Linked DNA regions of Canis lupus familiaris. The main gene of each other region encodes a partner of the protein of the gene in region 2 in a complex. Links are inferred from orthologs where the notes say so. Each region holds a gene or a part of one and is shown on either strand. Other genes may lie near its edges. The genes, in order: SEMA4D, PLXNB1 and ARHGEF12.

Region 1 (2,699 bases), on a different chromosome or scaffold from region 2:
TCGAAGATGAGCAAGTCTCTCCTGCCCACCAGGCCATACTTGGGGGTCTGGGCCTTGAGTACGCGGTCCCGGAACGTCCACACCACCCGGGCCAGGTTCGACTTTTGGGAGCATTTCAGTTCTGCTGTGCCGCCGTGCTTGAAAAAATGCTCCCGGAAACTTTTAGTTTCATCTGGAACACCAAAATAAACGTGCACAGTGTCAACAACCCGGCCCGCTACTTCCCTTCTTTCAAAGATAGGTCAACACGCACAAGAGAACACAAGAGTTTCACCCACTAGAGCAACACAGAATCTTCCAGAACAACTAAGGAGATAAAGACATGCGTGACAGAAGAGCAGAGATGAGCCCCAGATGGCAGCCCCAGGGGATGAGGAACTCGGGAGCAACCGGGTACAGAGATCCCATCTGGTGCCCTGCGAGGCCGTGCGGCGACACGCGGAGTCACACGCCGCGCTCCTGCCAACGGCTCCGGGGCCCGTGGACTCTCAGTGGCCCAGCATCCTCCTGAGGCTGCCCCGCTGTCGAGTCCACATCAGGAGCGTGACAGCCCAGGGCACGGCTGCCTTCCAGGAGACCAAGGGATGTGCCTGACCCCCCGGCCGGCAGGGGCATCGCCGAGGGGACGAGGACGCCTCCCGCTGCCCCTCCCGGGACCCTCAGGGTTGTGTCAGCAGCCCCAAGCTAAGCGGGAGAGAGGAGCGTCTCAAGACTGGATGTCACAGGTTGGACGCCGAGCACCTTCCAGTGAACGCACTACGTGGCTGCAACCAGAGGGGCTGGCGGGGTCGGCCTCTGTATCCTCATGGATACGTGCCCTCTGTTCCAAGTAGAGAAAGGAAAAAAGAATGTACGAGATGCCACAACAGCACAGCACCACGACACGATCACGAGACCCGGCCGCCCCCGAGCAGCACAGCGAGGAGGGGCCACTTACTGGGGCAGACGGACGTGTCACCGCTCATCTGCTGAACCAAAGTCCTGCAAGGCAAGCGGGCACGGTCACTCACGCGCCTTCCCCGCGGGCAGGGCGGGTGGCCGGCACGCGCGCCCCCGGTACCTGCTGGGGCTGTCTGTCCGGTGCAGGTCCACGCAGGCCTCGGCGGCACGGCTCCAGGCGCAGTAGGGGTCGCGGGCCAGCACGCAGTCCTCGCAGCTCCCGTGCTTCCCGCAGAAGGCCACGGGGGCCTGCACCACACCCGAGCTGGAACCCGCGTACACAAATCTCTTGCCCTGCACGGGGGAGACAGAGGGGACAGGCGCATGAGGGGTGGCATTCATGCGCTTGGTGGCAGGTGCTTCTCCACCTCGCCGGCTGTGGCAAGCACGTTCCCGCGATCCCTCATCCAGGAGCTTCCAGAACCGGAGCTCAGCCGGGCTACTCCAAGGCCAATCCCAACAGCAGCACCTCAAGCCCGCAGAGGCCGCGTGCTCTTCAGCAGAGTCCTCGCTAACTCGGCACTCGGGGCCTTGGTCACAGGCCCCCCCAGAACCCCCCAGCCCTCCCGTCTGGGTGCCAGTGTGGACGTGTCTCTGCCCCACTAGGGCTGGGGGTCAGCTCCTCTGTGTGGATGGGGCTCCTCCAGTGGGACACTCCTGGCCCCGCGACAGGACAGAGGCCAAAGGGTACAACTCGGAGCCCAATCCCAGGCCTGCCTGGCTTGAGCAGCTGTGCACGGACAGCCCAGTAGTGTCCGAATCCAGCGGGGCCAGGAAAGGAGGCGCCAGAGAGTGGTGGGGGACATGCAGAACTCCAGCACGAGGATTAAGGGACCAGCCAGGTTTGCGAGGGAGGAGCACGCAGACAGGGAGGCTGACGGCTGGCCCCTCAGAGAGCCAGGCCCCCCAGGTGGCTAATTGCTCCCCTGGACACAGCGGGGACCCCTCCTGGCACAGCCATGCTGCAGGGCTGCAATTCTGCATGTGTGTCCACGGTCTCCTCCGCCGGTGAGCCCGTCTCCCCCGACCCCACACAGATCTTCTGGTTAACCTCAGGGTTAACAGAACCCAGCAGAAGTCAGTGTTTCAGACCCAAACGAGTTGCAGCCTTCCCCGGGGGGAGACAGGGAATTAACAGCAGCGTCCAGCTGGCGCTCCTGGCCTGTGACGCACCCTGTGTGAGTATAGCCAAGAAGTCCCCTCCACAGCAGACTGTCCTCTGGTCAGAAGGGGCAGAGAGAGCCAGGCCTGGGGGCTAGCCCATCCCTGTTGGTGGGGCCCAGGCAGAGGAGGCCACATGGTTGCTGAAAGGACTGAGGATGCCACCCCAGACCCCTCTCGGGGTCACGTGGCTTGCAGAGGAGAGGGTTCCTGGGAAGGCCAAGCAGGCAACCTTGAGGGACCCTGGAGGGCACAGACTGCCCGGAAGCCCCAGCTGACACCAGACCTGAGTGTGTGGCTGTGGGCATGGGGGGATGGGGCGCTCATGTCCCTGCACCCCCGTCCCCAGGGCTGGGCTTCCGTGACCCAGAGCCACGGAGTAACAGATTCTGAGAGAAGGAAACAGGCAAACAGTGGCGGGGGGTGGCTGAGACCATTGGCAGGTGCAGAAGCCCGTGGGCAGGAGGGACTGACACCCAGCAGCCTTGAGGTCTCCCCCACGAGCAAGCATCCGTCACCATAGGGTGGAGTGCAGGTCCACGGCTTCACAGTATGTCTGCCCATGGGCACTGGGGCCTCACCCCTGCCCGGCCTCGCTG
Region 2 (3,648 bases):
CAAGGAAGGGGATGCCACTGCCCAGAAGGTCACTGGTTAGATCGGTCATCTCAGTCATGAGGTCTGTTGAGCAGAGGAGGCCAGGTTTGGGTGTGGATCCCACACTGTGGGAACAGCCTTAGGCAGAGCCCCGGAGGGTGCTCAGGCCCATTGCCGGCGGCCTCACCTGTGAACTCCTTCTTGCAGCGGTCCCGCACACTGCTCTCCAGATTCTCCAGCTGGATCTGGACCTTCTTATAGTCCCTCAGGGCCTGCTTGCTCTTCCTCCTGCTCAGCACCAAGGTTAGGAAGGGGGAGGCCAGACAAGGCCAGAGCCCTTTCTGGTGCCCCTGGCCCAGGCCTATCTACCCCAGCCTCACCCTGGACCAGGCTGATACCGTCCAACATGGCCATGCCCAGCCAAGCCAAGACTTAGCCCAAAAATAATTTAGACTGTCCTGTCCTGGGCAAGTCACACCCTCTCCGCAGGCTAGCCCCGGGGTTAGCCTAGAAATCAAGGAACTACAACCAGGCCAAATCCGGCCCACGGCCTGTTTCTGCAAAGATTTGTTGGCACACGGCCACATTCGTGTGTTTACATATCGTCTATAGCTGCTTCTGCATGCTTAACAGCAGAGCTGAGCCACTGAGGCCACTCAGCCCACAAAGCCTAAAATTGGTACCCTCTGGGACTTTACAGGCAATGTGTTTATTGACCCCTGGCCTAGTCTCCCCTTCCCATCCAGCCTCAGCCCAGCCACATCCAGCTGCACCCACCTGTATATGAGGACAATGATGATGACACCCAGAGCCAGAAGAGAGGTGCCCACCCCCAAGCCCACCTGGGCTGCCATGGGAAAAGCCACAGGGCTCTCGCCATCATACTGCACATGGCCCAGGGAAAAGCGCAGGTTTCCCATCTGCACCTACACAGGAAGGCACCTGTGAGTAAGGTTTCAGCACGTGCCCAGTGCCTGGCCCAGCCCACAGCCCACCTACTGACCGTGAACTCAGGCAAGGCGTCCGGTGCCTCTCGAAGGGCATGGTGCTGGGGCAGGGGCTGCTCCATGGGGGGCTCACAGTATAGGTGGTGACGGGTCAGCGTCTTCACCACGCAGAGGCCATCCCCTATCATGGCCACCACCTCCTCCTTAGACATTGCAAGGTCCAGATTCTCCCCCTGGAACACGAGGTCACTGATGGATCACTCAGAACTCTTCCCTAAGGGGAGTTGCTGGTGGTCACTCAGATCCTTTCCCCCTAAATGTGGGAAGGATGGTCCTGACACCCATCCCTAGGGGCAGGGCTGATGGTGCCTCAGCACCTCTTCCCCTGCATGAGAGGTGACAGTCCATGGGTATCTTCCAAGCTGTCCCCTGACCCTCCTCTGCCCTTCCCATCCTCCTGCCTCACACTTTTACTTCTCCAGAGCTAAAAATCCAGACAGTTATAGTTGCCCCCGAATCCCGCCCAGTTACCTCACAAAGCCAGATCCCCTGCTGTGTCTGCTGGCCCACCCGGTGCATGATGATGGGTTTCAGAATGCCCACCTACTATATGTGTCAGAATCCATGCCAACTGTTTGTCCACATTGAGTCAAGCTGCCAAATGGGCATTAGCCCAGGCGCCTACTGTGTACCGTGCCACCCAGCTACTACGTGTGCCAAACCATCTACATGCAGCCATTCAGACTCCTGCCACAGAGTGTGCTGGGACCCAGGCTACAGGACCCAAGCCCCGGGCAGATGTGTCAGGCTGGGCAGCCCACCACTGGTCCCTTAGCCCTCACCACATTAAGGGTAAGGAGCCAGGTCCATGCACAGGTCCTTGCTCTGCTGTCATGCCCCTACACACAGCAGTAGTGCCCAGCAAAGTGAAGGGTCATGTGGCCCCACCACGTGTGAGCAGGAACAGTACCTCCACAGACAGCACACTCCCGGGCTTGTGCCGGAACGGCATGGTGGGATCCTCGGGGTTGAGGGGCTGCAGAGTGGGGTCGGCCTCATAGGAGAAGGGTGTGGGGTTCAGCATTGCGAAGTCAAAGACCAGATTATCAAGGATAAATTCCACCTGGACCCAGGGGTCCTCAGGCAGGCCTGGGAGGGCAGGCGTGTGGCACATGATGAGCTGAGAGGAATTCACATGGCACGGCTCCTCAAACTGGGGCAGAGGGAGGAAAAACGGGGGAGGATCAGTTGAGAGCCATGTAGGAAGGAGGTCACGCAAAGACTGAAGGATAGCCTCTTTGGTACCCGCCAACCATGGCTGTGCACAGGGTGGCATGTGGGGTGATGTGGGTGATGGCCAGCCCAGTGCACATGGGGGATGCCCACGGATATCCTACATGATGACCGCCACAGGAACCACCGGGGGAGCATGCGGTTTCCGGGATCACACGGCGCCTCCGCCCAAGCCCCTGGTAAGGCTGCAGGGTTCTTGGGGCCACAGTCACTCGGATTCTTGGTGTCTGGACCGCATCCAAATTCTGGCCATGGACCCATACCTTACGTCCTCCACTGCAACACAGACCATGACCCATGGGTGGCTAGGAGAACCAGGCTAGCCCAGCCCCAAGCCACATGCCCCCCACTCCCAGTACCATAGGAGTCAAGCCTCCATAGAAAGCTCCGCAACCTCCCCACATCCTAGAGCTGCAGCCCCAGTACATGTCATGCAGCCATGCCCTTGGCCCAGCACCTGAGGAAGCTCTTGGCAGGGCCAGCAGAGGTGACATTGGGGTTTGACGTGTACTCGAATTGGCTATACAGAAGCCTCCGCTCAGTGGCCCCAAACCACACGGCCACAGGGAGTGTGGCAGGTACAGGGTATGGGCTGGTCTCACACCGCAGCTGCTCAGCCTGCTGCTCCAGGAGCCTAGGGCAGGGAGGGACGAATGGAAGGCAGGGCCAGGAAGGGGAAACAGAAGATTCTGGGCCACAGGACCCACTCAGACCTCAGCTTACTTCCCTCAGCTGACTGAAAGCTCCATAGGTGAGCTTGGAGGCCACATTCCCATGACAGCCCCAGCTTAGAAAGGGTCTGGCCTCTTTCCGACAGAGTAGACCTGGCCCTCTCCCCTCTCTGTTCTCCCCAGCATCCCACCCCTCTGTCTTCTTCCTAGAGCACATGGATTTTGGCAGAATGAGGAAGCAGCCCTCACAGGTGACAAGGCTGATCTCCAATGACTACTCTGATGTCCTCCAGCCGCCCAGTCAGGAGCTTGGAGCCGTGCAGGGTAAGGTGGGTGCCCCCGGCTCTGGGGCCCCGGGTCGGGAAGATGGAATGCACCTTTGGGTCCTGTGGGAAGTGGAACAGGGAGAGACAGCCAAACATGAAGCCACCAACAGAGAGGCAGGAGTAGCCTGGGGCAGACAAGAAGGCCTTAGAGTAGGAAAGCCCAGGAAGGCAAAACTAGATGCACTGAGGAAAGCTACTTCACCTGGTAGGCAAAATCGTGCTCTGAGACACCGCGTCCTCTTCCTGGCACCTCCACCGTCACTGCCCCAGCCACCTCCCCATCACTGGCCTCAGTGATACACACGAAGCTGTGGGCACAGGGCAGGCTGGGGTGCCAGGCTGCACCAAGGGCCCCTCCAACTGACCGGCTGCTCCCTCCCTGCCCTACTAAATCACGTGTTCTTCCCACTCCCAAGGTTGACAGAGACCTTC
Region 3 (3,648 bases), on a different chromosome or scaffold from region 2:
AAAAAAAATAACCACGTGAGTACAGAGATCATCGGCTGTTAAGTAAAATACACGGCACTTAGAGCAGTGTTACAATGGCACACAGGAGGCTCGTAAGCGGTTTGTTAAATAGCTGATGTGAGAACTGCATAAACCAAAAGACTTAAAGTTTCTTTGCATTTTAATAAGTAATGTATAGACTACATTCTTCCAGGTAAACCTAATGGATCAGTTTACCTGGACTCTGCAAACCAGGGACTGAAATGCTATGATGTTCCACTTTTAACTTTGGAGCTGCTTCTTCATCGTTGTCTCCTCTGTACAAGAAAGAAAACAATCTTTCAGCTTCAAGAGATGCCCAAACATCACTGCAGTGAAAGGTAAGGATCATCCGTTCCTTTCCTGATCAAAACACAGAGTCAGTCCTACTACAACGCAAATGCACACTCACTCGCAAGGTGGTGACTGTGGCAATGGGATTGGCTTTGCGGACTGTTCCTTCACTGATGCAGCCATCCGACAGATTAGGTCTTGCCAGCTGCAGGAAGTGTGAAAAGGATCCAAAATCCAAAAGGGAAAGGAAAAAAAAATGCCCTTTAAATATACACTCAGAAAGAAATAATAACAAAAACAAACCAGAAACCAAACCAAGCCAATCCAACAAAAAAACTCTATTTCCACCAGAGAGTGTCTTTATTTTGGCAACATTAGGTAGAGATGATAAAAAACACTGGACCTTCAAGAAAAACCTAAGCAAACAATGTTATGGATACAGCACGCATTAAAAACCTTTGCTTGATGCTTCTGAGAATTGTTCTTTAGAAAAGATACTTTCAATAGCATAGCGCTAAAACAAGGGACATCAATCTTGAGAGGACCACGTTCTTAGACAGTATCTCTTAAAAAATATAGAGGAAGTGGTTTTTTCAATATAGTTTTTGGTTCCCGAAGTATTACAAAAACCAAGTTTATAGAATGTTATATTCTATATATCTATAACAAAAACTATTAGAGCAAGGTAGCTGTATCTAATACATACACAGTCTTTTCAGAAACAGTCTGTGCCACCAGTTCATAAATCTGGGCTCCATTGTCTGACATGGAGATGACAAATAAAGCTTTGTTATCTGGAAGAAACAAGACAAAAATTACTCTCACAACATGGATATGACCTACAGAAGCCGTGAAGGATACTTCTCGGGTCCTGGTTTATTCTGCATCTTAATCTGGGTAAAGGTTAATGTGCTCACTTTGTAAAAATTCATCAAGCTATAAAGTTAAAATTTGTGTAACTTATCATATGTTACATTGTCTATGTTATACTCCAATAAAACAAAGATCCTAAAAACTAGCCCGGGTTCCACATAGAAACAAGGAGGTGTACATACATCTGAATTACTCAACACGATGACATTTTTGCATTTATTTTGAATTGCCCTGTTGCTAAATTGTTAATTAATGAAATTTAGTAAATGATGAAGAAAAGAGGTCGTCAGCTTATCTTGCCACTATGGAACTGACAAGTTTGAAAAGGGATCCCACTGTTACTACGGTTAATGTATAATTTGCTAACTTAAACTGATTTCAAAAAACCCAAACTACACCCACCTCTCTGTTTTTGTTTGCTCTTTTACCACAAATCAAAAAGCATACCACTCTCATGTAACTCTTTTCATTGGGATTATCCCTCAATTCACCATCTTCCGTGGTAGTCTGTCAATGATGTGAACATGGACTAAAGATTAAAGCGGTATGCAGGAAATTTTCAAGAGCAGAAAATTGCTCAGAGAATCTAGGCACCCCAAAGAATTTGGGGGTAGAAACTCTTTAAGTAGTAACCAAATTTCATTTCATTTGTTTAAGAATGAAACAGAAACTCTCTACCAGCTGGGCTGTTTAAACAATACCAAGGATCTCATGCAACTTTATGATGAACCTGAAAGCTACTGTCACTCTGTGGACATACTTGCCTGTTGCCACTTGTCGAACCAACACTGTATTCAACTTAATGACAGGGCTAAATGTGTGTTTGCTGTCAGCCGTGGATGCCAGAATCTTACTATGACATCTTAACACCAGTCTATCATCCTGCTTTTGTAACAATACAAGAATGTCTTCCAGCAGCAATGTGTATAGATCTGGAAACCAAAATGTAGAGAAGGTGATTAGTGTAGAAACTGAGATGTGTTTTATAAACTTTGTAACAATTTGACAGAGAAAATTTATTTCTGTTAAAGCTAATACATTTAAAAAATTGACTTGCTATTGTCTTTTTTAGTTCCATTTTTTAATAATTCATTTTTATATTGTATCGCACCAAAGCGTCAGTCGGTGACTGACAAGAAATTAAAAAAAAGCCACCATGATTCCTCAGCATAGATAGTTTGAAATGGAGTGGTTTAAAGAAAGCTTATTAGAGAGCTCATTAGAATACAAGAATGATGGAGACATGACTGAATCATGACAAATTTTTCTGCTTTTCCCCCTCAGTGAACATTTAATGTACTTCACCTATAAAGAAATACCATAAGCAGATCTGCAAATATAACACAGGGCAGCACTGCTCACTGCTGTTGCCAAAATCTGTGAACGGTTGTTTCTTCTCTTTGGCCCAAAGGAACTTTAATTTCTCCACTCTCCGTAAAACTGACAGACACGATACCTACCAATAGTTTTATCTCGATTCACCTTCCAGACCAATGGCCCTTCATGAATCATCTTCCTTTTCGTTAAATCCAAATTCTGCCAAAATAAAGAGAATTACACACAAATTATTTCCAAGCTCTGAGACGATATGCCATAGAGTCTCTTTTCAATAAATTCTTTATATAAAAGATACCATTTACCTTCACTATCATTATTGGTATTTGCGAACTGCTGAACATGGAATAAAGATCAAGTTACAGTAAGCTGCATACAATTTCCTAAAAAATTAGAGGTATCTTGAAAAACATTCAGAGGACTGCCTTCCAAGTCTCACAATAAATATATGATAATTGCTTATGAAAATGAAGTTGCAAGCATTCAGCCACTGGATTTGCAGCCCATCTAATTATTCTATGAATAGCTAGATGAGGATGATGCATAGTTTATCTATCTGTAAGAGGCCTGTGAGTGCCAGGCTCTAGTTCCAAACAAAGTTCTAAGGAACAGTACTCATGAAAAAGTCCAAGTAGTACTTGATCTTGCTCTAAATATTAATAATTTATTTTATCAAAAGATTCATTCGTTCGTTCATTCATTCATTCATTCATTCATTCATTTAAGGGAGGGAAGGGTAGAGGGAGAGAGAGAATTCCAAGCATACTCCCTGCTGAGCATGGAGCCCAATGTGGGACCCTGAGATCATGGCCTGAGCTGAAAATCGAGAGTCGGACACTTAACCAACTGAGCCACCCAGGCACTCCTACTAAATATTAATAATTTAGTAAGAAAATCAGCCCTTAGTATAGGTAGCTCTAGAAAAATCTCATCCTCTGGAAGTGAAGGCTAAGCGTATTAAGCGTGCTTTTTGATAAGCTGCTCTCTGTGATACAAGTCTAGTCTACCAGCCACCAAATACAATTTGCAAAAGCAACCCCCTACTGAAAGAGCACAAGAAAGAAAATCCTAAGCAGTTCCTTAATACAAAAGCCTCATGTAATAGAAATGGCAATTACAAAATTTTTT

Evidence for each region.
Region 1: the proteins of PLXNB1 (region 2) and SEMA4D are in contact, whole or in part, in a crystal structure (PDB 3OL2), measured with the Homo sapiens proteins. The link is inferred for Canis lupus familiaris from reciprocal best matches to the Homo sapiens genes PLXNB1 and SEMA4D. Residues at the interface, in NP_001123554.1 of Homo sapiens: Leu80, Pro81, Pro82, Glu87, Arg136, Pro137, Gly138, Asp139, Thr140, Tyr142, Gly178, Glu202, Lys205, Ala207, Gly209, Arg210, Ser212, Glu213, Arg235, Arg242, Asp359, Val360, Asn361, Ser362, Leu367, Pro368, Thr371, Tyr375, Ser379, Asp380; in NP_001358123.1 of Homo sapiens: Glu99, Lys100, Gly101, Phe158, Tyr179, Phe181, Leu182, Gly183, Ser184, Arg198, Tyr201, Ile203, Glu208, Val240, Leu264, Arg265, Thr266, Leu267, Gln268, Lys270, Thr347, Gln350, Ser351, His352, Thr353, Asp388, Gln392, Lys395.
Region 3: the proteins of PLXNB1 (region 2) and ARHGEF12 are in contact, whole or in part, in an NMR structure (PDB 2OS6), measured with the Homo sapiens proteins. The link is inferred for Canis lupus familiaris from reciprocal best matches to the Homo sapiens genes PLXNB1 and ARHGEF12. Residues at the interface, in NP_001123554.1 of Homo sapiens: Glu2129, Lys2131, Val2132, Thr2133, Asp2134, Leu2135; in NP_056128.1 of Homo sapiens: Phe82, Gly83, Leu84, Thr85, Val86, Ser87, Gly88, Asp89, His127, Val131, Lys135.

What each region holds. Positions count from the first base shown.
Region 1 is NC_049222.1:97,582,694-97,585,392, reverse strand, and holds part of SEMA4D (semaphorin-4D), read right to left. Parts: intron 1,234-2,699; coding exon 1,061-1,233; intron 982-1,060; coding exon 938-981; intron 173-937; coding exon 1-172. UniProt on the Homo sapiens protein: Cell surface receptor for PLXNB1 and PLXNB2 that plays an important role in cell-cell signaling. Regulates GABAergic synapse development. Promotes the development of inhibitory synapses in a PLXNB1-dependent manner.
Region 2 is NC_049241.1:41,080,551-41,084,198, reverse strand, and holds part of PLXNB1 (plexin-B1), read right to left. Parts: intron 3,525-3,648; coding exon 3,419-3,524; intron 3,277-3,418; coding exon 3,140-3,276; intron 2,854-3,139; coding exon 2,677-2,853; intron 2,496-2,676; coding exon 2,324-2,495; intron 2,140-2,323; coding exon 1,897-2,139; intron 1,160-1,896; coding exon 983-1,159; intron 906-982; coding exon 757-905; intron 268-756; coding exon 167-267; intron 64-166; coding exon 1-63. UniProt on the Homo sapiens protein: Receptor for SEMA4D. Plays a role in GABAergic synapse development. Mediates SEMA4A- and SEMA4D-dependent inhibitory synapse development. Plays a role in RHOA activation and subsequent changes of the actin cytoskeleton.
Region 3 is NC_049226.1:13,554,562-13,558,209, forward strand, and holds part of ARHGEF12 (rho guanine nucleotide exchange factor 12), read right to left. Parts: intron 2,722-3,648; coding exon 2,646-2,721; intron 2,118-2,645; coding exon 1,950-2,117; intron 1,107-1,949; coding exon 1,019-1,106; intron 518-1,018; coding exon 431-517; intron 297-430; coding exon 217-296; intron 1-216. UniProt on the Homo sapiens protein: May play a role in the regulation of RhoA GTPase by guanine nucleotide-binding alpha-12 (GNA12) and alpha-13 (GNA13). Acts as guanine nucleotide exchange factor (GEF) for RhoA GTPase and may act as GTPase-activating protein (GAP) for GNA12 and GNA13.